Anolis sagrei: one gene and its partners. The protein of the gene in region 2 interacts with the protein of the main gene of each other region in a pairwise test. Links are inferred from orthologs where the notes say so. Each region holds a gene or a part of one and is shown on either strand. Other genes may lie near its edges.

Region 1 (6,863 bases), about 19 Mb from region 2:
GGTAAGGGCACAGTTGGTGCACAAGTTTTAGTTGTGCAAATGCTCCCCTGGCCACTGCCGAGACCTGTGGTTTCAGGCTCCACAACGAATCTAGGAGGACTCCTAAGCTGTGAACCTGTGCCTTCAGACAGAGTGTAACCATTCTCCCATTGTCATGGACCGACCATCGGTTTTAGACTAATCGCAGCATCCAACCTCTGTAGGGGTGGTGGACCAATCAAGATAGTCCACCTCAGGAGACTTATGGATCTGGATGGACTCCTGATTTCTCTTGGGACTCTTCCTGTCATGGCAGTAGACAATCCTGGCTAAGCCTTTTTAACACCAAGGTAGCCAGGGCGGTGGACACGATCTCCTTGCCATCATACAGACCCAACCCAGCTCCTTGGTTCACTGAGGAGCTGGCTATGATGAAGTGATTGAGATGGAGACTAGAGTGCTTTTGGCGGAAAACTCTGAGCATGTCTGATCAATCACGGGCTAGAGTAGGGGTCCTCAAACTAAGGCCCGGGGGCCGGATGCGGCCCTCCAAGGTCATTTACCCGGCCCTTGCTCAAGATCAACCTAAATCTATAAGGACTTGAAAGCACACAACTACGACAACAATTCTATCTCACCAGCCAAAGCTCCTCATGCAGGGACATGAGAGAAGCCTCCAACAAGGATGATAAAACATCAAATCATCCAGGCGTCCCCTGGGCAACGTCCTTGCAGACGGCCAGTTCTCTCACACCAGAAGCGACTTGCAGTTTCTCAAGTCACTCCTGACATGACCAAAAAAAAGCTAAAAGCAGGCCCACACTTCCCATTTAAATACTAATAAATTTATATTTGTTAAAATTGTTCTTCATTTTAATTATTGTGTTGTTTTTAAGTGGGTTTTGCATTACAAATAAGATATGTGCAGTGTGCATTGGAATTCATTCGTTGTTTTTTTTTCAATTATAATCCGGCTCTCCAACAGTTTGAGGGACTGTGACCCGGCCCTCTGTTTAAAAAGTTTGAGGACCCCTGGGCTAGAGCCTCATGTAAGGCCTACTCTGTGGCATTGAGGGCAGCCAGAAAGGCTTTTTTGGCTGCCCACATTGCAACTAACAGACCAGCTGAGTTGTTTTGGGTGGTTGGGGAACTCTTTCATCCTTGAAAGTAGGAGGGGACCCCCAACCACTTGACAGCTCAATGTGGCGAGTTTGCTCATCATTTTGCAGACAAAGTCGCCCAGATACGTTATGACTTTGACACCAGTTTTAGTGCAGAGCCAAGTGATGTAACTGAGGGACCTGTCTGTCCAGTTTTGTTGGGTTTGTTTCAGCTTGTGCAGACTGATGATGTGGATAAGATCTTGGGAGCGGCGAGAGCAACCACATGTGCTCTAGATCCTTGCCCTTTTTGGCTTATCAAACTTGCCAGTTGGGGATTAGTTGAGTGGTTTGCAAGGATTATGAATCCCTTGTTGGATCAAGGACAAATTCCATCTTGCCTAAAACAGACCAATCCTGAAGAAGACATCATTATTGAATACCCATTGGCCAATTTCTAATCTCCCCTTCTTGGTTGTGGAGTGAGGGATGGCTTCTCAGCTCCAGGGATTCTTGGATGAAACTGATCCATTACAGTCTGGTTTCAGGCCTGGTCATGGTATGGAGACTGCTTTGATCATCTTGTGGATGACCTCTGTAGAGAGCTGGACAGGGGAAGTGTGTCCTTGTTGATTCTCTTGGACATCTCAGCGGCTTTCGATACCATCGACCATGGTCTACTTCTGGACCGGCTCTCTGGGATGGGTCTTGGGGAAAATGCTTTGCAGTGGCTCCGGTCCTTCCTGGAGGATCACACCCAGTTGGTGAAGCTGGGGGACACCTACTCGGGCCCTTGGCCATTGACCTGTGGGGTCCCGCAAGGTTCTATTCTCTCCCCCATGCTTTTTAACATCTACATGAAACTGCTGGGAGATGTCATCCAGAATTTTGGAGTTTGGTGCCATCTCTATGCAGATGACACTCAACTCTACTACTCCGTTGTGATGGACTGGATGTTTAAATCAAATATGTTTTCCATCTATAACTCTTTGGGTCAAAAGCTCTTCTGGACTGGATGAGGGCTAACAAGCTGAAGCTTCATCCTAACCAGACAGAAGTCCTCCTGGTAAGTTGTGAGGGCTGATGGGAGTATAGGGTGGCAACCTGTGCTTGACGGGGCCACACTCCCTCTGAGGACACAGGTCTGCAGTCTGGGGGTCCTCCTGGACTCAGTGTTGACACTTGATGCTGAGGTGTTGCCGGTGGCCGGGAGGGCCTTTGCACAGTTAAAGCTTGTGCGCCAGCTGCGACCGTACCTTGAGAAGCCTGACTTGGCCATGGTGGTCCATGCCTTAGTTACCTCCAGATTGGATTACTGCAATGCACTCTACGTGGGGCTGCCTTTGAAGACAGCCCAGAAATTGCAAATGGTACAAAGGTTGGCGGCCAGGTTGCTAACTGGAGCGATTTATAGGGAGCGGACAACCCTCCCATTAAATATTTAATAAAATAATAAAATAAAAATATTAAGTAAAATAATAAATATTACATAAAATAAAATAATAAAAATAAAATATTTAAATGGAAGGAAATATAAATAATAATACAATTATAAATATTAAATAAAATAATGACATAAAATGTATTAATATTAAGGAAAATAATAATGAAATATTAATTAAAAGATAAATAATACAACATAATAAAAATAAATAACGAAAATTAGATTATATAATTAAATACAAATATTAAATATCACAATTAAATACGAAATATTATGAATACCATATATCTACAAAATGAAATATTGAATGTAGAATATAATCTCTACTTTTCCGTGCACGACGGCGTGTTCTCCGTGCAGAATGACTTTCCCCGGCGCGGAGAGCACGAGCTGCCTCTTCTTCCGCATGGCCGCCTCTTCTTCACCGCCGGCACACTCCTCTCGCCTGACGCTTTCACCTGAAGGTTCCATTGGGGCGTGGCCAAGCCTCAGGCTGTGCGCGCCGCCCAATAACAGTGAGGAGCGACTCCTCTGCTTTCCCCTCTCGGCCAATCATGCGTGAGGGGGCGTAGCCAGAGGACAAAAAGCACGCCCTCTGTTGCCTAAATGACGTCTCTCGACCAATCAGGCGGCAAGTAGGCGTGGCTTAGCTTCTGAGGGGAAAACACAACATGCCCTCTGTTTCCTAACAAAACCATTTCGACCCATGACGCAATATGTAGGCACGGCCAAAAAAATCCATGCCCTCTCTGTGTTGCCTAATAGCCGTCTCTCGGCCAATCAGGCGGCTGGTAGGCGTGGCTTGGCTTCTGAGGGTAAAGCACAAAAGTACGCCCTCTCCTTGAGGTTCCCAATGAACCTCTCTCGACCAATCAACCGTGGCTATACAAAGAGTCCCGCCTCTTCTTTTATCTCGACCAATAGAAATTCGAGTCTCTGTCATCTCGACCAATCGAGCAGCAGCCAAGAGTGGCTTTGCTTCCGAAAACTCCGGCTTCTCGTTTTATCTTAATGGGAGAGGGGCGCCACATTTACTTCTCGCGCCGATTGGCTGAGCGCCTTTCTTTTGGGCCTCACGCGACCAATGAGGCGATAGGTAGGCGTGGTTGGCGTCTCCCCATCAGGCCCGCCCCCTCACGGCGGCCCTGAAGGGACAAACTTTACCGGAAAAAAAGCGTTTCCACTCTTTCTCCGTAATGGCGAATCAGATGGGTCTTTTCGGAGTTCGCGTTTGTTTTAAAAGGGCGTTGGCGGCTCACTTTGGGATCAGGAACCGCCACGAGGGAGGGGAGAAGCCCAGGTAATGCGCGGGGGGGAGACAAGGCTGCCTGTGAACATGTGCAGAGAGCGCAATGACCCTTTCCCCCTGCTTTTGCAGGCAGGAAGCCAAACTCAAGATCTACACCAAGACAGGGGACACAGGTCAGGATTATATTATAGTTATATTATTTATTTATATGATTGTTTATCTGTATTATTTATGTCTACTTTTCTTTGTTTCTCCTTTATTTGCAATATTTTTATTATTTATATTATTATATATTTATATTATATGATTTATACTATTTATCTATCTATATATCAAATTTCTTATTCTTATATTCCTATTATTATTAATAATCTTATTTATTTGTATCCTTTATATTATTTATCTGTATGTCTACATATATACATATATAACTTAATATTTGTATTATTTATCATTGACCTATTCTTATTCATATTCCTATTTATATTCCCATTTATAATCTCTCTATCTATATAGGTGTGTGTGTATGTATAATTTTTAAAAATTATATTACTAGCTTGGGGGCCTGGCAATGCCTGGGTGATTTGAAAAAGGCATTGTTTGTTTTGGGAAGTTTGGTAATATCTCTGGATGTAGGGTGAACTACAACTTCCACGCAGGTGGCTCATTCCACCCCCACCCCCCCCCCCCCCCAAAAAAAAACCAAACCCCTCCAGTATGTTATCTTGGTCACCAGGGCTCTGTGTGCCAAGTTTGGTTCAGATCTGACGTCAGCTGCGTTCATTTTTCTCTAGATAACGATGAACTACAACTCCCAAAATCAAGGTCAAGCCCCCAAACCTCTGCAGTATGTTCAGTTGGTTGTGGGGCTTCTCTGTTCCAAGTTTGGTCCAGATCCATTGTCTTTGGGGGTCATCGTTTCTATAGATGGTGAACTATAACTCTCATAAATCAAGGTCAATTTTCCCCAAACATCTCAGTATGTTCTATTGGTAATGGAGAGTCTGTGTGCCAAGTTTGGTCCAGGTCTGTCATTTGTGAGGGGTCACAGTTTTCTGTGTATGTTGGAGGTTGAATCAGGTGAAGGTACTGCAAACCCAATCGTCTATAGTCCATTATCCCTCAAACTGCACCAGGACGTGGGTCATGGGGGCTCTGTGTGCCAAGTTTGGTCCCAGTCCGTCATTCATGGGGGTCTCAGTGGCCTTTGGAAGTGAGTGAAGGTACTGCAAATCCCATCATCCGTGGTCCATCCTCCCCCAAACCACACTAGGACGTTAAGTGGGTTATGGGGGGTCTGTGTGCCAAGTTTGGTCCTGGTCCGTCATTCGTGGGGGTCTCAGTGCTCTCTGGAAGTGAGTGAAGGTACTGCAAATCCCATCATCCATGGCAAGTTTGGTCCACATCCATCTTTGGTTGGGTTCACAGTTCTCTCAGGATTTACGTAAACTACAACTGCTATAAATCATGGTGAATTATTCCCAAACCTCTTCTTCAATTGCTGATCAATTCCTGTTTGCTGTGTGTCATAGGAAAGGCACACCAATGGAGAGAGAAGGGAACACTGGGATGTGGCGCTTACTGTAACCCTGCAATTTACATTGCAATGGCCATTTGTGTCTCTTGAATGGTGGAGGTTACAGATGTTTGTGGAAACGGTAGCCTGTGTAATTACACCTCCTCCACATACACATTTTCAATTTTATTATGTGTATCGATTTTAATATTATTTATGTGCTTATTATGTTTACATTATTGTTGTTGTTTATGTTTATATTATTATTATTATTATTTAGGTTTTTCCAGCACATTTACTGGGGAACGGAGGCCAAAGGACGACTGGATATTTGATGCTTTGGGTACTTTGGACGAACTCAGTTCAGCCATTGGGTATTCTATTCAATCAATATAATATATAAATTAAAATAAATATAATATTTGCTATATATATTTATTTTAATATAATGTTTCAGTAAATATATTTTAAGAATACATAAAAATAAACATCCCTAGCAGGATAAAAATAAATAAATAATAATAATTTTAATTTAGATTGAGTTCTGAATTTGGGAAGGAAGGAGGTCACTCTTTTGCAGAAGAAGAACTTCATAAGGTGAGTTTATTAATATTTTTCCATATTATTTTAAGATTTTCCTAAATAATGAAATAATTTTCACATTATTTTATTTTATTGAATTTATTTATATTATTTTGCATATTTATTTTTCAAATTATATTTCAGATTAATTCATTAATTTATTTTGGTGTTGTTTTCATTTAGATTTTGTTTATATTGTTCAGATTCTTTTTATGTTTTTTCTAGTTGTTTTTCAGACTATATTTCAGATTTTTTCATTTTTTAAGATTAATTTCTGGGTTTGGTATTTTAAAAGATTTTTTCATATTATTTTTCATATTATATAAGTCTATATCTGTATAGGTTCAATGCAGGCTGCAAGATGCTGGTGCCAACATCGCGACCCCTGTCTCGTCGGCCCGAGAGGCTCATTTAAGTAATTAAAATAATTAAATATAACAATTAAATTAAAATAATAATAATAACGGGAATTGATTAGGGATAAATTACCTCCCCCAGAACGAACTAGCTTTGACGAAAAGCCGGTTTCAGAGCTGGAAAAATGGATCGATGGATACACTGATCGGCTTCCTCCCCTGCAGTCATTCATTTTGCCGGTATGTTTTTAATTTTATATTAATTATATGTATTATATTTTATTATTTTAATTTACTGTATGTTATGTTATATTTATTTCTAAACTAGTTGGGTCCCCAGCATTACCTGGTTTATTTGAAAAAGGATTTTTTAAATTGTACAAAATGCATTCGGTTGTAGGTGAACTACAACTCACATCATGCCAGGTTAACCCCGAAAAAACTCCATCAGTACTTAAAGTTTGCTATGTTGGGCAAGTTTGCTTTCTGTATGCATCATGGGTGGGGTTCAGTGTGCTCTCTGGCTGTAGGATAAACTACAACTCCCACTATGGTGAGTCAGTCCTCTCAAATCCCTCCAGTAGGTTGATTTAGTCATGGGGGTTTTGTATGCCAAGTTTAGTCCAAGTCCATCATT
Region 2 (6,843 bases):
ATCAATGGAAAAAAGGAATAATTATCCAAAAGATATTTTTGAAAGGTTAAAGAAATAAAATTACCATTAATCACAATAAATAATGCTTTTAAAAGATTCCAAAAATAAAATGACCAATAATAACGAAAAATTGTTTAAAATGGAATTTCTACTGAGGAAAAAAAAGATTCCTGATTCTCTCTCTATATATACAATATAATAATATATAGAAATAATAACATTGTAATGTAATAATACTAGCATATTATATATATTAATGTGATATGTTATATATACTACAATTTATGATATAGTACAATATGTTATAGAATGCTAACAGTATAATATACTGGTAGTGCATTAAATATATTGTGGTGGAATAATATAGTATAATAATATAATTTTCTATTATATATTATTAAAATATTAGTCTAATAGTATAGCACAATATAATATATAATATTAATATTGTGCTATGCTAATAATATATAGAACTATACTTATAACTAATTCCTTAACTTATTGAAGAGCTACGTATTTATATATTTTATGTTTTTTTATATGTTTATATTTTATATAGATTGTAACAGCTTTAATGCTTAATGGGGTTATTTATGAGGCCTGACTGAGTTATATGTTGTATCTTTTAGCCAATGTTGTTCAATTGTTTTATTTTTAACTGTTTGCTTTAATTGTTTTAATTTGTTATTTGCACATGGCATTGAATGTTTACCATTTTTCGTTTTTGGAAGTTGCCTTGAGTCCCTTCCAGGGAGAGAGGGCACGTTAAAAAGAAGTTGTTGTTATATAATATTATGAGTCCCCTTGGGGAGATCAAGTATGGTATATCAAGTTTTATTATTACATAATAAGAAGAATGTAATATGGTAACACCAATATATTAAATAAAATTACTACTGATTATATATAATAATGTATCACAGAATCAGAGAAGTGGAAGAGACCTCGTGGGCCATCCAGTCCAACCCCATGCCAAGAAGCAGGAAAATCACATTCACAGCCCACCCCCTAGAGAAGGCCATTCAGCCTCCACAACGGGGCAGAGAGTTCCACTGCTGCTCTCAGTTACGAAGTTCTTCCTAATATTCAGGTGTAATCTCCTTTCTTTCCTGTAGTTTGAAGCCATTGTTCTTCATCCTAGTCCCCAGGGCAGCAAAAAACAAGCTTGCTCCTACTTCACTATTACTTCCCTTCACATCTTTTTTCATAGCCCCCATCATGTCTCCCTCATGCTTCTCTTCTCCAGGCTAAACATGCCCAGCTCTTAAAGTCGCTCCTCACAGGGCTTGTTCTCCAGACCCTTGATCATTTTAGTTGCCCTCCTATGGACACATTCCAGCTTGTCAACATATCTCTTAAATTGTGGTGCCCAGTATTGGACAAGGTGTGATTCCAGGTGTGGTCTGCCCAAGGAAGAATAGAAGGTTGGCATGACTTCCATGGATATAGACACTATACTCTTATTTATGCAGGCCAAAATCCCATTGACTTAAGCCACTGCATCACATTGTTGGCTCATGTTCCCTTTCCTCCCCACACACGTGCTGCTCTCGAGCCATGCGTCTCCCATTCTGTATCTTTGCACTTCATTTTTTCTACTTAACTGGAGTATCTTGCATTTGTCCCTGTTGAACTTCATTTTGTTCGTTCTGGCCAATCATCTCTCTAGTCCAGTGGTTCTCAACCTGGGGTCCCCAGATGTTTTTGGCCTACAACTCTCAGAAATCACAGCCAGTTTACCAGCTGTTAGGATTTCTGAGAGTTGAAGGCAAAAAAAACATCTGGGGACCCCATGTTGAGAACCACTGCTCTAGTCTGTGAAGATTGTTTTGAATTCTGCTCCTGTCTTCTGGAGTACTGGCTCTCCCTCTCAATTTGGTGTCGTCTGCAAACTTGATAATTGTGCCTTCTAACCCTTCATTTAAGTCATTAATAAGGATGTTGAACAGAACCGAGCCCAGGACGGAACCCTGCTTGTGGCATTCTACTCCTCACTCCTTTCCAGAATGAAGAGGAAGCATTAGGGAGAATCACCGCCTGGGCGCGTTCACTTAACCAATTACAGATCCACCTAACTGTAGTTTTGATAATATTATACTAGTTTTGATAATTATAATACTGTTTAATTGTAGCATATTTGAAGTTGTCATGTTTTTGATTGAGAGCCACTTTGAGTCTCCATAGTGAGAGATACAGCAAAATATAAATCAATTTTTATTTTATGCTAATAATATGGTCTATATATAATATTTGTATTATACATAGACTACATTATTAGCATAAAATAAAAATTGATTGATTTATATTTTGCTGTATCTCTCACTATGGAGACTCAAAGTGGCTCACAATCAAAAACATGACAACTTCAAATATAATATATTATATTATGATTAATAATTATTATTAGTATATTATAATGTAATACTATAATATTAATCATAATATAATATAGACTGAACGAATAAACAACAAACTAATATTGCCCTATGCTAATAGTAGATTATATAGACAAATATTGAGAGTAATAGTGATAAAGCGGGATATAAATCGATCAAATCAAATAAAAAATTTTAAGTGTTATTTAAAATAATAAAAAACGCGTTTCAGAGAGAGATAAATAGGAAATAGATGGCAGTACATCAACTAGAAGGTGATTTTTTACCACCTCTTCCTGGGCCTTCCCTGAGGAACCATTTTGTCCTCCATTTTCCTCCCAAAACCGTTTTCTTTTCCCTCAAAAGCGACCCCTCTCTTCGTTTGTCCGCCTCCGCCAATATTCCCACACCAGTTTCCCTTAAATTCCCCTCAAGAGGGGCCCATTTCCCTCCTTTTCCCACTTCACGCGGCCCTCATTCGAGCCAGCCTCACCCGTCGACGCCATCTTCCCTCCTCCTCCTTCTTCTTCTTCTCAGCCGCTTGAGCCCTGCCCCTTTCCAACGGGCTCTATGCCGCGCATGCGCAAAGGAGCCCCACTCGCTTCTTCCTCCGCCGCCTCTTTCTTCACCCGCTTTTTCTCTCTTTGGCCTCGCCCGCCTTCCTTATATAGAAACCCAATCTGGGACTGTTCCAATGGAAAGGAAAGGGGTGTTAATCGCTTTTCCCTCCTTTGTACCACTTTGGCATCCCCCGTCCTTCTTGTCGAAGCTTTTCGTTCTCAGAGTCTTCCAATGCAATGGAAGAGGGATTCGTTCCAGAGAGGAAATTGAATCACTTCCCCCGCCCCTTATCCGCTTTGGTATCTCCCGCCCTTGTATAAGCTTTTGCACTTCCAACGAAAGGGTACAGTGAAGTGAGGGGGAAATGAGGCTAGAGCTTGAGTGATGGGAGGAGTCTAAGCCTAAGCCCCTCCCACTGTGCAGCTTTATTCACCCCCTTTTCCGACTTCGACTCTTCCGACCTTCTGTTAGGAAGCTATGGCACGGGACTCTTCCAATGAAAGGGAAAAGGGGGCGGGAGGGAGCAAATGAAGGCCAATGTAGAAGAACGCCACGTTCTTCCCGCCCCCTTATTCTCCTTGGTATCCCCTGCTCTTCTTATTCAACGATGAGTCTTGGACTCTTCCAATGAAGGGAAATAGGGGTGCGAAGACAGCAAAGGCTTGCATAGAGGGGAGGAAATGGTTCTGTCCAGGTGAGTTTGAAAAGCAGGACTGGGCATGATAGCTCACAATCAAAAACATTACAACTTCAAATATACAACAATAAAACAGTATACCATGATATATTATTGTATATTATCAGTATTACTTATTTTTATTATTAGTATTGGTAAATTACAATATTATTGTTATATAATAATAAAACATACTGCCCTATCTCCCCAAGGGGACTCATTATAATATTATTAATAATATTATATGTATATATTATATTATGAGTATAGCACAATATTAGCATTATAAATTATTATACCACTAGACTGCAATATTATTAGTAATATATAATAAACAATTATATTATTATATATTATTATCTTGTACTATAGTATTATGCCACAATGTATATAATACACTAGCAGTATATTATACTATTATATATATTATATATTATATATATTATACAATTATATAATACATTGTACTCAGGGGCGGCTCAACCCATTACGCAAAGTAAGCATTTGCAGTATAGTTGATGTTGCTCAGGGGCGCTCTTGGAGGAAAATAGACCTTGACATATGTGAGTTGTAGTTACTGGGATGTATAGTTCACCTATAATCAAAGAGCATTCTGAACTCCACCAATAATGGAATTGAACCAAATATGGCACACAGAACTCCCACGACAAACAGAAAATATATATCAGTGATTGGTTGGGGGGGGGGGGGGCAAAATACAGTTTGCTTACCATTGAAAATTATCTAGGGCCGCCTCTGATTGTACTATATCATAAGTTGTAATAATAAGAACAATACTTTATTTTTCACCTGTCCTTTCTCCCCAAAGGGACTCTTTCAATCACAGGACTTGTTGCTTTGCAGGGGAATGCGGATACGACGGCTTTGGCGTGGACAATGGGACTTGCAGTGGCCCCCTGTTGCTTCCTCCAGCCTCATGGGACTTCTCTTCCTTGTTTGGTGGATGGACATTGAGGAGGGTTTGGCCTTAGTGCCCGGCCTGCTCACAAATCCCTTGCAAGGTAGGCTAGCCATAGAATCGCACTGGCTTTTGTTGGCCCTTCTGAGCGACCCTATGGCATGCTTCAGCCAGAAAATAAGGAAAGCATTCCCCATGATTGCGCAAAAAAGGGTATCATGCTATCGCCCACCACAGTTTCTGCTATTGCCCATTCACATTTCTGCTATTTTACACTACCATGCGCGGCAACTATATTGTGCGATTGGACACTTACCTATATCAAGCTAATATGCAATTGCATATTATGAAATTGGAAAAGCAACATATTGTTTACATGTAAAATAATGATATTACAACATTGAGCAATAGCCAATATGCCATTTTGTGCAGGAATATTGTGCTATCGCGCAACAGCTATATTATGCCATTGGACCCTAACTATTTCTCATTTGCACTGTAACTATTGGGCTATTCCACAAATAACCTTATTATTCTGTACCACAATACCTATATCCTGCTATTGTGCATCAAATACTGTGCCCATTTGTAATTCGCAAAAACTGTATTATGCTTCTGAGCAATAGCAATACTCCTGTCCTGCTATTACACTGTTGCTCACACACAGTATCCCTTTATTGCGGGAGAACAGAATTCCACTATTGTGAAAAATACCCAGGTCCGTGATTGCGTGAGAATTGTATCCCACAGAGGATCCTGTTATGCACCGTGTTTTTTTGGGAAGGACTCCCTTTTTGTTAGTTGTCACCTTCTGCCCATATTTTGACGGATTTGAGTGCGCAATAACCTGTGTCAATTTCTTCCCTGCAGCTTTCCGCCTCGTAACATACTGCCTCTGCCATTCAGACATCTCTCTCCTGTCAGTCAGCCTTCTCTTCTTCCCGCTCTTTGGATGGCGGCCAGAATTGCGCATGGGCACCATACACTTCCTCTACACCGCTGTCCTTGGGGCGGTCATCTCAGCCTTGATGTACCTCCTTCTGGCCGGACTTTGGGGCGGTCACTCAAATGCTGTAGTCAGTGGCTACACTCCGGTCCACTTGGTCTTCCTGGGTTCTCAGCAGTGGCGGAAGGGGCTCTCTGGCTGGATGTCCACCGCCTTGCTGGCCGGAGCACTGGTGGGGCTGACCCAGGCCCTTTCACCCCAGTCATCCTTCCTCCTCCATATCTGTGGCCTCTTGACTGGTTTGGCGTGTATCCTTGAATCCTAAACTGGCCAAAATATAGATTTGGGTGATGTTTAGTCCAAAGGTACAGGTCAAAAATGAGTATAGATACCTTCAAATGACTTCTCGGGAGCATGGGAGAGGAAGACCTCCAAATGACTGGTCTGCTGAGCCAATAGTGGTGTCTTCTCCCCCCTTCAAAACCTCACTCTCGCCTTAGATCAAATTTAGCCAAAGGTCAACATTCAAAAGTGACCTCTAGCCCAAAGTAACCCAAGTGTAGCCCTTCTGGTTTCTTTCTGGCTCCAATGACTAGCAGTCCAATAGTGAAAGAGTCCTTCCAAAAAGATATCCTTGGGTCATGTTTAGCCAAAGGCCAGGGGTCAAAATTGGCCACCAATTACCCCAAATGACCTACAGGGAGCGTAAGGAAGGTACAGGCCTTTTGTCCAAAGTAGCCACAATGTAGTCCACGTCCAGTAGCTCAAAACCAAAGGGAGTCTCTCTCTCAAAAAAAATACTGTCGTTGGGAAACATTAGTCAAAGGTCAGAAGTCAAAAATAGCAACAAATCTGGTTTTAATCCTTGACATATCTCAGACCGTGCTGGGATTTTCTTTCTCCTTGAACCATCGGACAGGTTCTTAGAAAGGATACATAGCAGGATTCAAATCCAAATCCCTCCGTTCCTTCACTTCGTCCGGCCCCCAGAAGCCAGAAGCCTTCCGGTTACGAACCCCATGGCAGCTGCTAAAACACAAGAGTAAGCCTATGTTACCCACTTTGATTCCTTTTCAGTATGAACATTGACTTACCCCTAGACCAGACCTCACATTCATTTTCCTTCCCAGGATTTACGCAGCATCCAGTATTCAATTCCCAGAGCTTTTCCCAAGTGAATCCCCATCACAGACAAGAGGAAGTCCTTCCTTGTCCCCTGCTGTACCTTTCTCTGCCTTCCAGGAAGCCCTAATAGAGGAGGAGTTGCTCCAAGCCGGCATCCAGGCCTCCCTGGAAGACATGGTCAAGGAAGAGGTCACACTTTCCAAATCATCCGTCTCGTCCCTCCGGTAAAATGGTGGACCAT
Region 3 (7,428 bases), on a different chromosome or scaffold from region 2:
AATCCTGCAAAAATGTCCTTGGAAGCACTTTTTTCCTGCTAGTAATCATACGTTGTCCCCCGGATCTGCTATCCTGACAGTTTACATTGCTCCCTCAACCAGTGTTTTTAAATTTTTAATTCTTTGCAACTGGCCCTGCCCACTGTGATTAATTTTCTGTGTTCAAGTGTTCTGATTTTATATTGTTTGATGTGTATATTTGTATTGATTTTGTATGTTATTTTTTCTGTTGTATATTGCTTTATTGTACTACTAGCCATCCCCTGACATGCGTTACTGTGGCCCACATGGGGGTTCTGTGTGGGAGGTTTGGCCCAATTCTATCGTTGGTGGGGTTCAGAATGCTCTGTAATTTTACGTGAACTATAAATCCCAGCAACTACAACTCCCAAATGTCAAGATTCTATTTTCCCCAAACTCCACCAGTGTTCACATTTGGCCATATTGAGTATTCGTGGAGAGTTTGGTCCTGATCCATCATTGTTTGAGTCCACAGTGATCTCTGGATGTAGGTGAACTACAACTCCAAAGTGGAATCCTCGACATGCGAGTGTGGAGAAGAGCAAACTACAGACTACCTGCTGCAATGCAACCTGAGAGCCCTGCCACATGCACAATGGAGGACCTCCTTGCGGCAACACCATAGGCACTCCAAGTGGCCAGATACTGGTCAAAGGACATTTCATTAACTACCAAGCTTGCAAACTTTGTTTTTTATCTATTTGTTTTGTTAAAAATGTAATACAAATGTCTGGTTGCTCCTGACACGATAAATAAATAAATAACTCCAAAACCAAAGGACGCTGCCCACCAAACCCTTCCAGTATTTCCTGTTGGTCATGGGAGAACTGTGTGCCAAGTTTGGTTCAATTCCAACGTTGGTGGGGTTCAGAATGCTCTTTGATTTTAGGTGAACTATAAATCCAAGCAACTACAACTCCCAAGTGACAAAATCAGTTTTTTTGAGTGAAGGACATACATTGGGTTGTTAGGTGTCTTGTGTCCAAATTGGATGTCAATTCATCCAGTGGATTTTGAGTTCTGATAATCCCACAAACAAACATTACATTTTTATTTAAATAGACTAGCCGTCCCCTGCCACGCGTTGCTGTGGCCCAGTCTGGTAATCTGGAAAATAAAGTAATGTGAAAGTGTGGGTTTCTAATATATGTAATTTCTTGTTGTTTCTTTGTCAGTGTTGATGTGTGGATGGTCTGGTTTGCCTACTCTGGAATATGGAACATAATTGTCCTTCTTTAGGGGTCCCTGTCAAATCTATGATCTCTGTGTGTGTGTGAATCATATCTATCTATCTATATTTATGCCTGGATAGCTCTTTGTCAGAAGGGCTTTGATTATGTATTCTTGCCCTGGTGAAGGGAGTTTAACTCGATGGCCTTAAGTATATTCTGTTGGTCATGGGGGTTCTGTGTGGGAAGTTTGCCCCAATTCTGTCATTGGTGGGGTTCAGAATGCTCTTTGATTGTAGGTGAACTATAAATCCCAGTAACTATAACTGCCAAATGTCAAGGTCTATTTCCCTCAAACTCCATCTGTGTTCATATTTGGGCATATGGAATATTCGTGCCAAATTTGGTCCAGATCCATCATTGTTTGAGTCCGCAGTGCTCTCTGGATGTAGGTGAACTACAAGTCCCAAACTCAATATCAATGCTCACCAAACCCTTCCAGTATTTTCTGTTGGTCATGGGAGTCCTGTGTGCCATATTTGGTCCAATTCAATCACTGGTGGAGTTCAGAATGGTCTTTGATTGTAGGTGAACTATAAATCCCAGCAACTACAACTCCCAAATGATAAAATCATTTTTTTTTTTTTGAGTGAAGGACATACATTGGGTTGTTAGGTGTATGCTGTCCAAATTTGGTGTCAATTGGCCCACTGGTTTTTGAGTTCTGTTAATCCCACAAACAAATATTACATTTTTATTTATGTAGATTTCTATCCTGCCCTTCTCCTCCTGAAGGCGAACTCAGGTGAACTATAAATCCCAGCAACTACAACTCCCAAATGACAAAATCAAAAAAATTTGAGTGAAGGACATACACTGGGTTGTTGGGTGTCTTGTGTCCAAACTGGGTGTCAATTCGTCCAGTGGTTTTTGAGTTCTGTTAATCCCACAAACAAACATTACATTTTTATTTATATAGATTGGACTTGGCCTCATGTAAACCACCCCAGGTCCCCTTGGGGAGATGGTGGCCGGGTATAAATACAGTTTATTATTATTATTCCTCATGATTCAGCTCATGTTCTTTGTATCCAGCAGGTATTCAAGTCACCATCCACCCCACAATTACCTGTCTAATTACTTTTCACTTCTAACGCTGCGATTCTATGATTGTAAGAGTGATATCATGACAGATGTCAGTGAAGTGGAGCAAGCAGGTGGACCAGTAGCAGAAGCTCCCATGCCAGGGTTGTGATTAAGTGTCTGACAAAACAGGGCTGAGCCCACACACCCTCCTCCTCCTCCTCCTCCATGTTGAGACTCATACTTCCCTATTTGGGACTCACTGCCACCAGCAAGAACTCCACCCATTTCTACAATGTAGATCAGGCATGGGCCAAGTTGGGCCCCCCAGGTGCTTTGGACTACAACTCCCACAATTCCTAACAGCCGTAGGCTGTTAGGAATTGTGGGAGTTGTAGTCCAAAACACCTGGGGGGCCCAACTTGGCCCATGCCTGATGTAGATACAGCTTTCCCTCCTTCCTCACAACATTAACTTCGGTCCCCGAGTAGGAGGCTTCCCCGGAAGGCCTCCAGCTCTCTGCCTCAACTTCCAGCGGGAGCGACAAGCCCTCCTTCCTTCCTTCCTTCTTCCGAGAAGACAAGGAATTGGCTTCTCCCGCCTCCCTGCCGGATCCCGCGTGGCCCCTCCAAGGCGCCCACTCACCCTCTCGTGAAAGATGGCCTCCATGTTTATTTGTCTCCCCACCGACACCAGCCTCCGCGCCACGTGACGGAGAGTCAGCCAATCGCAACAGGCTCCGTCCCTTCGACCAATCACCGCCGCTTCGTCATTCGAGGCTGGGCTTTACCTCACCCCGCAACCTATCTATGAGCTCAACCCATACGTCAAAGAGAGGATGCTAAGGAGAGCGTGCTCTGTTTTACCCACACTTCCGGTTCCAATTGACAACATTTATTTTATATATTTAATTCATGCCCTATCCCGAGCTCTGAAGATCACCTGGGAAGGAATCCCACTGGAGCATGGCAGCGCACCCAAATACCTGGGAGTCACTCTGGACCGTGCCCTGACCTACAAGAAGCACTGCCTGAACATCAAGCAAAAAGTGGGTGCTAGAAACAATATCATACGAAACCTGACTGGCACAACCTGGGGATCACAACCAGATACAGTGAAGACATCTGCCCTTGCGCTATGCCACTCTGCTGCTGAGTATGCATGCCCGGTGTGGAACACATCTCACCACGCTAAAACAGTGGATGTGGCTCTTAATGAGACATGCCGCATCATCACAGGGTGTCTGCGCCCTACACCACTGGAGAAATTACACAGTCTAGCCGGTCAAAGCCATGGTATTCCCTGTAGTAACCTACGGATGTGAGAGCTGGACCTTAGGGAAGGCTGAGCGAAGGAAGATCGATGCTTTTGAGCTGTGGGGTTGGAGGAAAGTGCTGAGAGTGCCTTGGACTGCGAGAAGATCCAACCAGTCCATCCTCCAGGAAATAAAGCCCGACTGCTCATTGGAGGGAAGGAGACAAAGTTGAAGTACTTTGGCCACATCATGAGGAGACAGCAAAGCCTAGAGAAGACAATTATGCTGGGGAAAGTGGAAGGCAAAAAGAAGAGGGGCCGACCAAGGGCAAGATGGATGGATGGCATCCTTGAAGTGACTGGACTGACCTTGAAGGAGCTGGGGGTGGTGACGGCCAACAGGGAGCTCTGGCGTGGGCTGGTCCATGAGGTCACGAAGAGTCGGATACGACTGAACGAATGAACAACAAAAGCCGGTATAGCAACCACCTGACATCCGTCGGGAAGTAGCAGCCAATAGTGAAAGGACCAAGGCAGTGACATCTCCAGCCCATCCCTTGTTTGGGTATCAGCCAGCACGTCAGCGACTTAAATCAAGAAATAGTTTTCTCAGTTCTACAGAGACACTCGCTGGAACACCCCAGCAAGCAAGAGTCCAAAAGTGGCAGGTTCAAACCCAGAACCTCAATCAATGGCTGATACCAAATGAGAGACTCCCCCCTGGGCACACAGAAGACTGGGCGACTTGGAAGGCACTGAACAGACTACACTCTGGCACCACGAGATGCAGAGCCCACCTCAAGAAATGGGGCTACAAAGCGGAATCCACGACATGTGAGTGTGGAGAAGAGCAAACCACTGACCACCTGCTGCAAAGCAACCTGAGCCTTGCCACATGCACGATGGAGGACCTTTTTGCGGCAACACCAGAGGCACTCCAAGTGGCCAGATACTGGTCAAAGGACATTTAATCAGCTACCAAGTTTGCAAAATTTGTGTGTTTTTTTAATGTTTGTTTGTTTTCTTCTGTTAGAAATGTAATACAATGTTCTGGTTGCGGATGACACGATAAATAAATAAATATGGTGTATTGTTTATAGTCTATTGCTTGATGTTTTTGATTTGCTTTATAATGTTATGTGTATTGTTATGTTGTTGTCTTTTATGAACCCACGCGTTCCCTTCGTTCATCCGGAGAGGCCCTGCTCGCGATCCCACCTGTGTCACAGGCGCGTTTGGTGGGGACGAGGGACAGGGCCTTTTCTGTGGTAGCCCCCCGACTTTGGAACACCCTCCCCAAGGACATCAGACAAGCCCCTACACTGGCAGTCTTTAGGAAGAGCTTGAAGACCTGGCTGTTCCGGTGTGCCTTTCCAGAATAGGAAACTCCAGCAATATGTCCCAGAAGCACTTTATCAGAGAGTTAAGATTGTCTGCACATTGCACTTACCCTAAAATCCTACATGTTACCTGTCATACTCAGCACCTTTTAATCTGTACCCATTACAATCGGCCCAGCCCTAGTTTTTAATTGTGTTATGGTGTATTGTTTATCGTCTATTGCTTGATGTTTTTGATTTGCTTTATAATGTTATGTGTATTGTTATGTTGTTGTCTTTTGAGGCCTCTGCCTATGTAAGCCGCATCGAGTCCTTTGGGAGATGCTAGCGGGGTACAAATAAAGTTAATAATAATAATAATAAATATGTAATTTCTTTATGCTTGTGGGTAAACAGTATTGCTTGCTGTTTCTTTGTCAATGTTGATGTGGAGAGTGTCTGGTTTGCCTACTCTGGAATATGCAACATATCTTTAAGGGTCTCTTTAAAATCTATGATACTATATCTGTGTGTGTGTCAATCATATCTATCTATCTGTATGGCTGGATGGCTCTTTGTCAAGAGAGCTCTGATTGAATTTTCTTGCAGTGAAGAGTTGGACTGGATGGCCTTAAATATTTTCTGTTGGTCATGGAGGTTCTGTGTGGGAAATTTGCCCCAATTCTGTCGTTTGTGGGGTTCAGAATGCTCTTTGATTGTAGGTGAACTATAAATCCCAGTAACTACAAATCCCAAATTTCAAGGTCTATTTCCCCCAAACTCCATCTGTGTTCATATTTGGCCATATGAAATATTTGGGTCAAGTTTGGTCCAGATCCATTTGGGTCAAGTTTGGTCCAGATTTGAATCCACAGTGCTCTCTGGATGTAGGTGAACTACAACTCCCAAACTCAAGGTCAATGTCCACCAAACTCTTCTAGTGTTTTCTTTTGGTTATGGGAGTCCTGTGTGCCAAGTTTGGTTCAATGCCATAATTGGTGGAGTTCAGAATGCTCTTTGATTGTAGGTGAACTTTAAATCCCAGCAACTACAACTCCCAAATGACAAAATCAAAAAATTTTGAGTCAAGGACATACATTGGGTTGTTAGGTGTATGCTGTCCAAATTTGGTGTCAATTGGCCCACTGGTTTTTGAGTTCTGTTAATCCCACAAACGAACATTACATTTTTATTTATATAGATTTCTATCCTGCCCTTCTCCCCCTGAAGGGGGATTCAGGGCGGCCTCACATAAGCATCATGTGATGCTGTCAGCATATAACAATAAGGAATACAGTAAAAATCATTAATTCTGCAGGAGGCAGCAACCGGATTTTAAGTGGATTTTTTTCTCTAGTATGATGAGGCCCCCGGACTTCAACCCACACAATTCCCAACAGCCTATTGTCTATTAGGAATTGTGGGAGTTGAAATCCAAAACAACGGGAGTGCCCAAGTTTGGCCATTCCTTATTTACATTGTCGAATTAATGCATGATTTCTTTTCCTACTGCCTTCTACTTTACTAGGCACAATTGTCTTTTCTAATGAGTCATGTCTTCTCATGATACGTCCAAAGTACAAGTTTAAGTCTAGTCATTTGCTTTCTAGGGAGCGATCAAGTTTGCTTTGCTCCAAGACCCATTTATTTGTCTTTTTGGCAGTCACAGAACTCTTCTTTGGCATGACATTTCAAATGAGTAGACATAGGCTTTCCTCACTGTTCAGCTTTTACAATCATATACAGAAGAAAATACAATGGTAAGGACAAAGATTACAAAACACATCATCCTCCTTTCCTAAATGCCGAAGGAATAAGGGACAGATTAGAATACCTCCTTCATTATGTGTTTTTTTTCCTTTTTGAAATGAAATTTTAGTAATGGTTAATTAGGTCTTCAAAGCTCCATTATGCTTCAGAGATACTCATCTGGGTAATAATAATAATAATAATAACAACAACAACAATAACACTTTATTTATATTCTACTCTTATCTCCCTGAAGGGACTCAGGGTGGATTCCAAACAAAAAATGCAAACGTCCAGTGCCCTATTTCTGGTATTCCTGATATCTGCAGTGTTTTCTTCTAGCAAACAAATGAGTTTTAAAAGCACTAAGAAATTTTAAAAAGCTGACAAAGTTTTAGAGGTGTATATTTTCCCCTCTCACTGATTTATATTCCTATGTAGAATGCCTTGTAAAACAAATGTATAACTAAAGCTATTTATATTTCCACTGCCAGCACTAAATAGATATATTTTAATGCATTTGTTTGTTAATATGCAGCAAAGTATAAAGTTTTGGGAGAGAGAATTTCAAAACAAAACATCCAAATACTTTTTAGGCTGGTTGTCATCTTCTTTTTATTTAAAGGTGGAAAAAAGATCTCATGTGTATGTCCCCAGAGAAGAAATTCCAGAAATACAAACTTTAGAATTTTACTCTAAAGAAAAATGAATGCAATGACATTCATTCATAACTGGAAAAAATGTTATGTGTTTCTTCTTAAAAGTAACTTCTTAAGCTCCTGCTAAAGTCATGAATTTAATAGATGGCCCGGGACTAACAATTTTTGTTTCAC
Region 4 (7,710 bases), on a different chromosome or scaffold from region 2:
GTTTCAACTGACCCCCTTGATTAGCATTGCCTGGAGCAATCTTTAAACAGAAGCTTGATGGCCATCTGTCGGGGGTGCTTTGAATGCAATTTTCCTGTTTCTTGGCAGATTGGGGTTGGACTGGATGGCCCATGAGGTCTCTTCCAACTCTATGATTCTAAGGACATTGTAAATTCCCAAGATTCAATGGCATTAAACTATGGTGGCTAGGGTAGTATCAAACTGCATTAATTCTACTGTGTGGATGCACACCAAAACAACAACCTGAGCACCAAACCACACTCCCCTTTGCAAGCCTTGCGTGCGAAGCAGTTTGTGAGAGCTTTTCCTTTTAAAATTTATCAGTGAAGCGTCTATCCAATTCCTCAAGGGAGACCAGCTGCTATTTCACAAATGCCGCTCTGCTTCGGCATAATCTCTTCCTCCTCTGTTCCAACATGAGGAACTAGCAAGCATTACATTAATAGCCCTGGGAGTCGGAAGAATTAGGCAATTGCCATGGAATTCGCTGGGTTTGTCCTTGTCGTCATAAGTATCCCTAAGGACAGAAGTGGAGATGGGGGGAGGCATGGGAGGATGTTTCCAATTATTTATATAATGTTTGCAAAGCCATGTTTGGAGAACACACAGAAGAGAATCAAGGAAGGTTAACAGCAAAATAGTTAAGATGATCGTGCCTGTTTTTAAGGTTACTGTTGCGCGGTCACGCGCTGGGCCTATAGCAGTTGGCTTTTGAACAGGACGTGCTCTTTGTGCCCAGCGGGAAGCCGGGGTGCCTCGAGTGAGAGGCCCTAAGGATTTTCCTATACAAAAGTCTTTAGAAGCTTAAAAAGTTTATAGAATCATAGAATCAAAGAGTTGGAAGAGACCTCCTGGGCCATCCAGTCCAACCCCATTCTGCCAAGAAGCAGGAATATTGCATTCAAATCACCCCTGACAGATGGCCATCCAGCCTCTGTTTAAAAGCTTCCAAAGAAGGAGCCTCCACCACACTCCGGGGCAGAGAATTCCACTGCTGAACGGCTCTCACAGTCAGGAAGCTCTTCTTCATGTTCATAGAATCATAGAATCAAAGAGTTGGAAGAGACCTCCTGGGCCATCCAGTCCAACCCCATTCTGCCAAGAAGCAGGAATATTGCATTCAAATCACCCCTGACAGATGGCCATCCAGCCTCTGTTTAAAAGCTTCCAAAGAAGGAGCCTCCACCACACTCCGGGGCAGAGAGTTCTACTGCTGAATGGCTCTCACAGTCAGGAAGTTCTTCCTAATGTTCAGATGGAATCTCCTCTCTTGTAGTTTGAAGCCATTGTTCCATTGCGTCCTAGTCTCCAGGGAAGCAGAAAACAAGCTTGCTCCCTCCTCCCTGTGGCTTCCTCTCACAGATTTATACATGGCTATCATATCCCCTCTCAGCCTTCTCTTCTTCAGGCTAAACATGCCCAGCTCCTTAAGTCGCTCCTCATAGGGCTTGTTCTCCAGACCTTTTATCATTTTAGTCGCTCTCCTCTGGACACATTCCAGCTTGTCAATATCTCTCTTGAATTGTGGTGCCCAGAATTGGACACAATATTCCAGGTGTGGTCTAACCACAGCAGAATAGAGGGGTAGCATTACTTCCCTAGATCTAGACACTAGGCTCCTATTGATGCAGGCCAAAATCCCATTGGCTTTTTTTGCCACCACATCATATTGTTGGCTCATGTTTAACAAAGTTCTTTATCATTTCTTACGTCTTCAACAAGCAATCAAATACTTCTTGGATCTTCAACAAATTAAACAAATGCTTCTTAACTTGTCTACAAAGGACAGGCAACTTGCTTGGAGAACTATTTCTTTCTTTAACAAGGAAAACCCTTTTTGACCCTCCCGGGCAATCTGCTTTCTAGGTTCTGCTGGTGTGGGCTTCTACTCCCGGCTCCAATTGCTTCTGGTTACCCGAGTAGACCTACCAGTCAAGACTTTGTAGATTTTCCAGCTGGAGTCCTTTTGGATTTTCTCCATGAATGGTGTAGATCAGTCTTCTTCTTCTTAGGCGATCCCTCGTTTTCCGAGGAGGATTGTCTTCCAGTGTTATTGTGGGTCCGTATGTGGCTGTGGAGCCCTATTCTTGCTCTGCATCTTCTTCCGCAGTGAGGGCATCGGTTTCCAGGTGGAAGGCGGTCTTGGTCGGGGTTGGCTTGATGCGCTTTCCTCTTGGCATGTTTCTCTCTTTTGCCCTCCATTCATGCCTCTTCAAATTCTGCAGCACTGCTGGTCACAGCTGACCTCCAGCTGGAGCGGTCAAGGACCAGGGCTTCCCAGTTCTCAGTGTCTATGCCAGACACTATAGTAACAATTTATTTATTTATTTATTTATTTGGTTTACTTTTACCCCGCCCTTCTCACCCCGAAGGGGACTCAGGGCGGCTTACATATCCAAGGCACAATTCGATGCCCGTAACATACAACAATAATAAAACACAATAGCACAAAATAGCAAACAATAACAATACATCATATCTATAACCAATAAAGCCCATAAAAATTTCATACAAACCGATACAAACCAATTGCTCCTTATTGCCGGTCAATATTTGCTACCTCATAGTTCAGAGTTTCATTCCACACTTATCAGTCCTGCCGGTCCTATTTTTCTGGTTGTCCTTACTTGGTTGGCAGATTGCCCGAAGGCCTGGTCCCACAACCACGTCTTTACCTTCCTCCTGAAGGACAGGAGTGATGTCAATGTCCTGATATCCGCCGGGAGTGAGTTCCACAGGTGAGGGACCACCACTGAGAAGGCCCTGCTCCTTGTCCCCACCAGCCTCACTTGGGAAAGTGGTGGGGTCAAGAGCAGGGCCCCCTCTGATGTTATTAGATTCCGTGGTGGGACGTAGAGGGAGATACGTTCGGACAGATACACTGGACCGGAACCATAGAGGGTTTTGTAGGTTAAGACCAGCACCTTGAATTGGGCTCGGGACTGAAACGGCAGCCAGTGGAGCTGACACATCAGAGGGGTGGTATGCTCTCTGTATGTCGCTCCAGTGAGCAGCCTGGCTGCCGCTCGCTGGACCAGTTGAAGTTTCCGAACCGTCTTCAAGGGCAACCCCACGTAGAGTCCCTTCTTAAGACCATTACAACTGCCAACAATGATGGATCAGGACCACAATTTACACAGAGACCCAGCATGACCCACTCTACATCTGGTGCGGTTAGGAAAAAATTGTCAATGGATGATGGGACTTGCAATCACTTCACTCACTTCCTGAGACCACTGACTGATCAAGACCAAATTTGGCACACAGAGTCCCCATGACCCACTCTACATCCTGGTGCACTTTCGAGGAGGACAGACCATGGATGATGGGACTTCAAGTACCTCCACTCCCCAAGACTGCTGCAACCCTCACCTAATGTCCGATCAAGACCAAACTTGGCACACAGAGCCCCCATGACCCACTCTACATCCTGCTGCAGTTTTGGAGGAGGACGGACAATGGATGATGTGACTTCCAGTACCTTCACTCACATTCTGAGACCTCTGCAAACCTCATGCAATGACTGATCAAGACCAAACTTGGCACACAGACCTCTCATGACCCACTTTACGTCCTGGTGTCATTTGGAAAAAAATGGAGATGGATGATGGGACTTGCAGTAACCTCACTCACTTTCTGAGACCACTGAGACCCTTGCCAATGACTAATCAAGACCAAACTTGGCACACGGAGCCCCAATGACCCACTCTACACCCTGGTGCAGTTTGAAGGACAGACCATGGATGATGGGACTTCCTTCCCAAGATTGCTGAAACCCTCATCTAATGACCGATCAAGACCAAACTTGGCACATACAGCCCCCATGACCCACCCTACATCCCGGTGCTGTTTGAAAGATGGACGATGGATGATGGGACTTGCAGTACGTTCACTCACTTCCTGAAACCATAGCGACACTCATTCAAAAACCAATAAAGACCAAACTTGTAACATAGAGCCCCCATGGCCAACTCAACATTCTGGTGAGGTTTGGGGAGTACAGACTATGGATGATGGGACTTCAAGTACCTCCACTCACTTCCCAAGACCTCTGCAACATTCATCTAATGACCGATCAAGTCCAAACTTGGCACACAAAACCCCCATGACCAACTCTCCATCCTGGAGCAGTTTGGAGGGGGATGGACCACAGATAATGGGACTCACAGTAACTTCACTAACTTCCTGAGACAACTGCGAGGCATATAAATAACTGATAAAGACCAACCTTGATACACAATTCCTTTCTCAAATAACCCGGGCAGCGCCGGGTCCCCAAGCTAGTATATAATATAATTCATCTAATATAATATAGGAAGATTGTATATTTAACATATATTGTAATATAGTAATAGTAATATTACTCCAGCAGCAAGATCTTTTTGAAAGTGCAGGTCCCATCTCCCACCAGCAGGGGCCGCTGTCGCCTCTGAAGCGGCTTGCCCATTCATGGACTGAAATTGGACGAGGATTCCGCTGAAAAGGGGGCGGGGCGGGGGCGGGGCTTGGATCATGTAAATGCAGGCTCCCTCTCACACCAGCAGGGGCCGCTGTCGCCTCTGAAGCGGCTTGCCCATTGATTGGACTGAAAAGGGGGCGTGGCTTGGATCACGTGATGCACTCTGCCCCGCTCTGCATGCTGCCAAGGCTCGCGGCGGGCGTCACGTGGTCAGGGGCTCCTCCTCTCTTCTCGCGAGAGCTGGGTCCATTTCCGCTTCCGCTTCCTTGCTTGTGAAGAAGAAGAAAAGAAGAAAGCGGAGGAGAAGGAGTCTCGCCCGTGTTCCTCACTGTGAGTCGTTAAGATGTAATATAAGGTTATATTAAGTGAATTATATGTATAATACTCCATTATATGTGACTATACAATATGACTAGATGATATAATACTAGATGAATTATATTGTATATAATATTAATTAATAATTAATATATTATATTGTACATAATATTAATATATATTAAAATATCATTTACATTATTTATGACTATACAATATATGATATAATACTAGATGAATTATATATAGTATTAATTAATAGTTAATATATTGTACATAATATTAATATATATTAAAATATCATATAAGTTATATAATATATATTATTACTATATTTTATTGTATTATATATTAAATATTATATTAGATTAATTATGTATTATACTGTTACTATATTATGTTACATTATATATTAATATACAATATTCCTATATTATATTAATTGAATTATATTATATATAATATTAATTAATAATTAATATATTATATTATACATAATATTAATATATTAAAATATCATAAGTTATATAATATATATTATTACTATATTTTATTGTATTATATATTAAATATTATATTATATGCATTATATATAATATCACTATTACTATATTATATTGCATTATGTATTAATATACAATATTCCTATATGATATTAGATGAATTATATTATATATAATATTAATTAATAATTAATATATTATTCACAATATTAATATGTAATTCTATATTAGATAAATTGTATAATATGTATTATTACTATATTATATTGTATTATATATTAATTAATATATTAGATGACTTATATATAATATTAATAATATATTATACATAATATTAATATATAATACTATATTAGATGAATTATAGATAATATTACTATTACTGTATTATATTACATTATTTATTAATATACAATATTCCTATTAGATGAATTATACTATATATAATATTAATTAATAATTAATATAGTATACATAATATTAATATGTAATTGTATATTAGATAAATTGTATAATATACATTATTACTATATTATATTGTATTATTTATTTATTAATATTATATTAGATGAATTATATAAAATATTACTATTATTATATTATATTACATTACATCTTAATATACAATATTATTATATTATATTAATTGTATTATATATAATATTAATATATTACACATAATATTAATATGTAATTCTATATTAGATAAATTGTATAATATATATTATTACTATATTATATTGTATTATATATTAATTAATATTATATTAGATGAATTATATATAATATTAAAATTACTATTATATTACATTATATCTTAATATACAATATTACTATATTATATTAGATGAATTCTATAATACATATAATGTAATATATATTGTATATACATATAATATTTATATTACATGTAATATTATTAATAATATTACAATATAATGGTATAGTACAATATAGTAATATTTAATACTGATATTGTACTATGCTAATAATACCATATATTGTATATGTGTATATCTTGTAAGCCGCTCTCAGTCCCCTTCGGGGTGAGAAGGGTGGCATAGAAATGTCATGTTATATATATATATATATATGTGTGTGTGTGTGTGTGTATACACACACACACACACATATACATATATATATATACATAATATTAATGTATAATACTATATTAGATGAATTATATATATATTACTGTTACTATATTATATTACATTATATAGGAATATACAACATTGCTATATTATATTAAATGAATTATATATATTAGGATATAATATTAGTATATAATATTAGATGAAGCCACGAAGATTCCGTGAGTGACATTGGGTCATAGAATAATAGGGTTGGAAGGGATCCCAAAGGCTATCTAGTCCAACCCCCTTCTTTCTGTGGCAATCAACCCTCCCTCTCACCACCCACCCCCAACAGATGCCCATCCAGCCCCTGTTTAATTTCAACAAGTACAAAGGTAAGATATGACACCTAGGCAGGAAAGAATGAAATGTGAAGATACAGAATGAGTGATGCCTGGCTTGACAATAGAACATGTGAAAAAAGATCTTGGAGTCTCCGTGGGCAACAAGCTGAACATGAGCCAAGAGTGTCATGCAGCAGCTCAAAAAGCCAATGCAGTTCTAGGATAGTGTCTAGATCAAGGAAAGTCATGGTGCTCCTCTATTATATTCTGCTTTAGTTAGACCTCTTTGCCTGGGATACTGTGTCCAATTCTGGACCCCACAGTTCAAAAGAGATATTGACTTTAAGCTGAAAGGAATCCAGAGAAAGGGATAATCGAAGGTCTGGAGAACATGAAAAACCTCTCTTAGAGAGCTGGGTCTGTTGAGAGGAAACCCAGAAGAGAAGGTTGAGAGGAGACATGGTAGCCATGTATAAATATGTGAAATGATGTCATAAGGAAGAGAGAACAGGCTTGTTTTCTGCTTCCTTTGAGACTAGGACTCAATGGAGAGGAGATTCCACCTGAACATTAGGAAGAACTTCCTAACTGTGATAACTGTTCAACAGAGGAACATTCTGTCTTGGAATTCAGAGGAGGCTTTTAAACAGAGGTTGGACAGCTATCTCTCAAGGGTGCTTGGTTGTGCTTTTCCTGCATGGTAGGGAGTTGGACTGGTTGGCCCACGAGGTCTCTTCCAGTTCTATTATTCTGAGGAGCTGGGGATGTTTAGCTTTGAAAAGAGGTGCCATGACAGCCATATTTCAGTATTTGAAAGGATGTCACATTGAGGAGGGAGCAAGCTTGTTTTCTGCTTCTCTGGAGATTAGGACACAATGGAGCAATGGATTTAAATGCCAGAAAAGGAGATTTCATGTAAACGTGTGAAAGAATATATTGGCAATAAGAGCTTTTTTGATAGTAGAATATGCTTCTGCCTGGGAGCC

Evidence for each region.
Region 1: the proteins of EWSR1 (region 2) and MVK interact in a two-hybrid assay, tested with the Homo sapiens proteins (2 studies listed by BioGRID and IntAct). The two-hybrid records come from large-scale screens. The link is inferred for Anolis sagrei from reciprocal best matches to the Homo sapiens genes EWSR1 and MVK.
Region 3: the proteins of EWSR1 (region 2) and ATXN3 interact in binary tests that used the Homo sapiens proteins (3 or more experiments, as listed by UniProt). The link is inferred for Anolis sagrei from reciprocal best matches to the Homo sapiens genes EWSR1 and ATXN3.
Region 4: the proteins of EWSR1 (region 2) and MAPK1IP1L interact in binary tests that used the Homo sapiens proteins (3 or more experiments, as listed by UniProt). The link is inferred for Anolis sagrei from reciprocal best matches to the Homo sapiens genes EWSR1 and MAPK1IP1L.

The regions. Positions count from the first base shown.
Region 1 is NC_090034.1:29,479,218-29,486,080, forward strand, and holds the start of MVK (mevalonate kinase), read right to left. Parts: upstream 3,023-6,863; 5' UTR 2,995-3,022; coding exon 2,851-2,994; exon of another isoform or gene 2,808-2,850; coding exon of another isoform or gene 2,805-2,807; intron 1-2,804. Other genes in the region: corrinoid adenosyltransferase MMAB, read left to right, coding at 3,720-3,823, 3,902-3,945, 5,569-5,662, 5,825-5,885, 6,213-6,285, 6,369-6,466. UniProt on the Homo sapiens protein: Catalyzes the phosphorylation of mevalonate to mevalonate 5-phosphate, a key step in isoprenoid and cholesterol biosynthesis.
Region 2 is NC_090034.1:48,576,948-48,583,790, reverse strand, and holds the start of EWSR1 (RNA-binding protein EWS), read right to left. Parts: upstream 3,004-6,843; 5' UTR 2,882-3,003; coding exon 2,869-2,881; intron 1-2,868. Other genes in the region: RHBDD3 (rhomboid domain-containing protein 3), read left to right, coding at 3,617-3,630, 4,477-4,634, 5,402-5,785, 6,357-6,519, 6,608-6,826. UniProt on the Homo sapiens protein: Binds to ssRNA containing the consensus sequence 5'-AGGUAA-3'. Might normally function as a transcriptional repressor. EWS-fusion-proteins (EFPS) may play a role in the tumorigenic process.
Region 3 is NC_090021.1:315,863,051-315,870,478, forward strand, and holds the start of ATXN3 (ataxin-3), read right to left. Parts: upstream 3,012-7,428; 5' UTR 2,943-3,011; coding exon 2,919-2,942; intron 1-2,918. UniProt on the Homo sapiens protein: Deubiquitinating enzyme involved in protein homeostasis maintenance, transcription, cytoskeleton regulation, myogenesis and degradation of misfolded chaperone substrates.
Region 4 is NC_090021.1:337,014,134-337,021,843, reverse strand, and holds the start of MAPK1IP1L (MAPK-interacting and spindle-stabilizing protein-like), read left to right. Parts: upstream 1-4,708; 5' UTR 4,709-4,810; intron 4,811-7,710.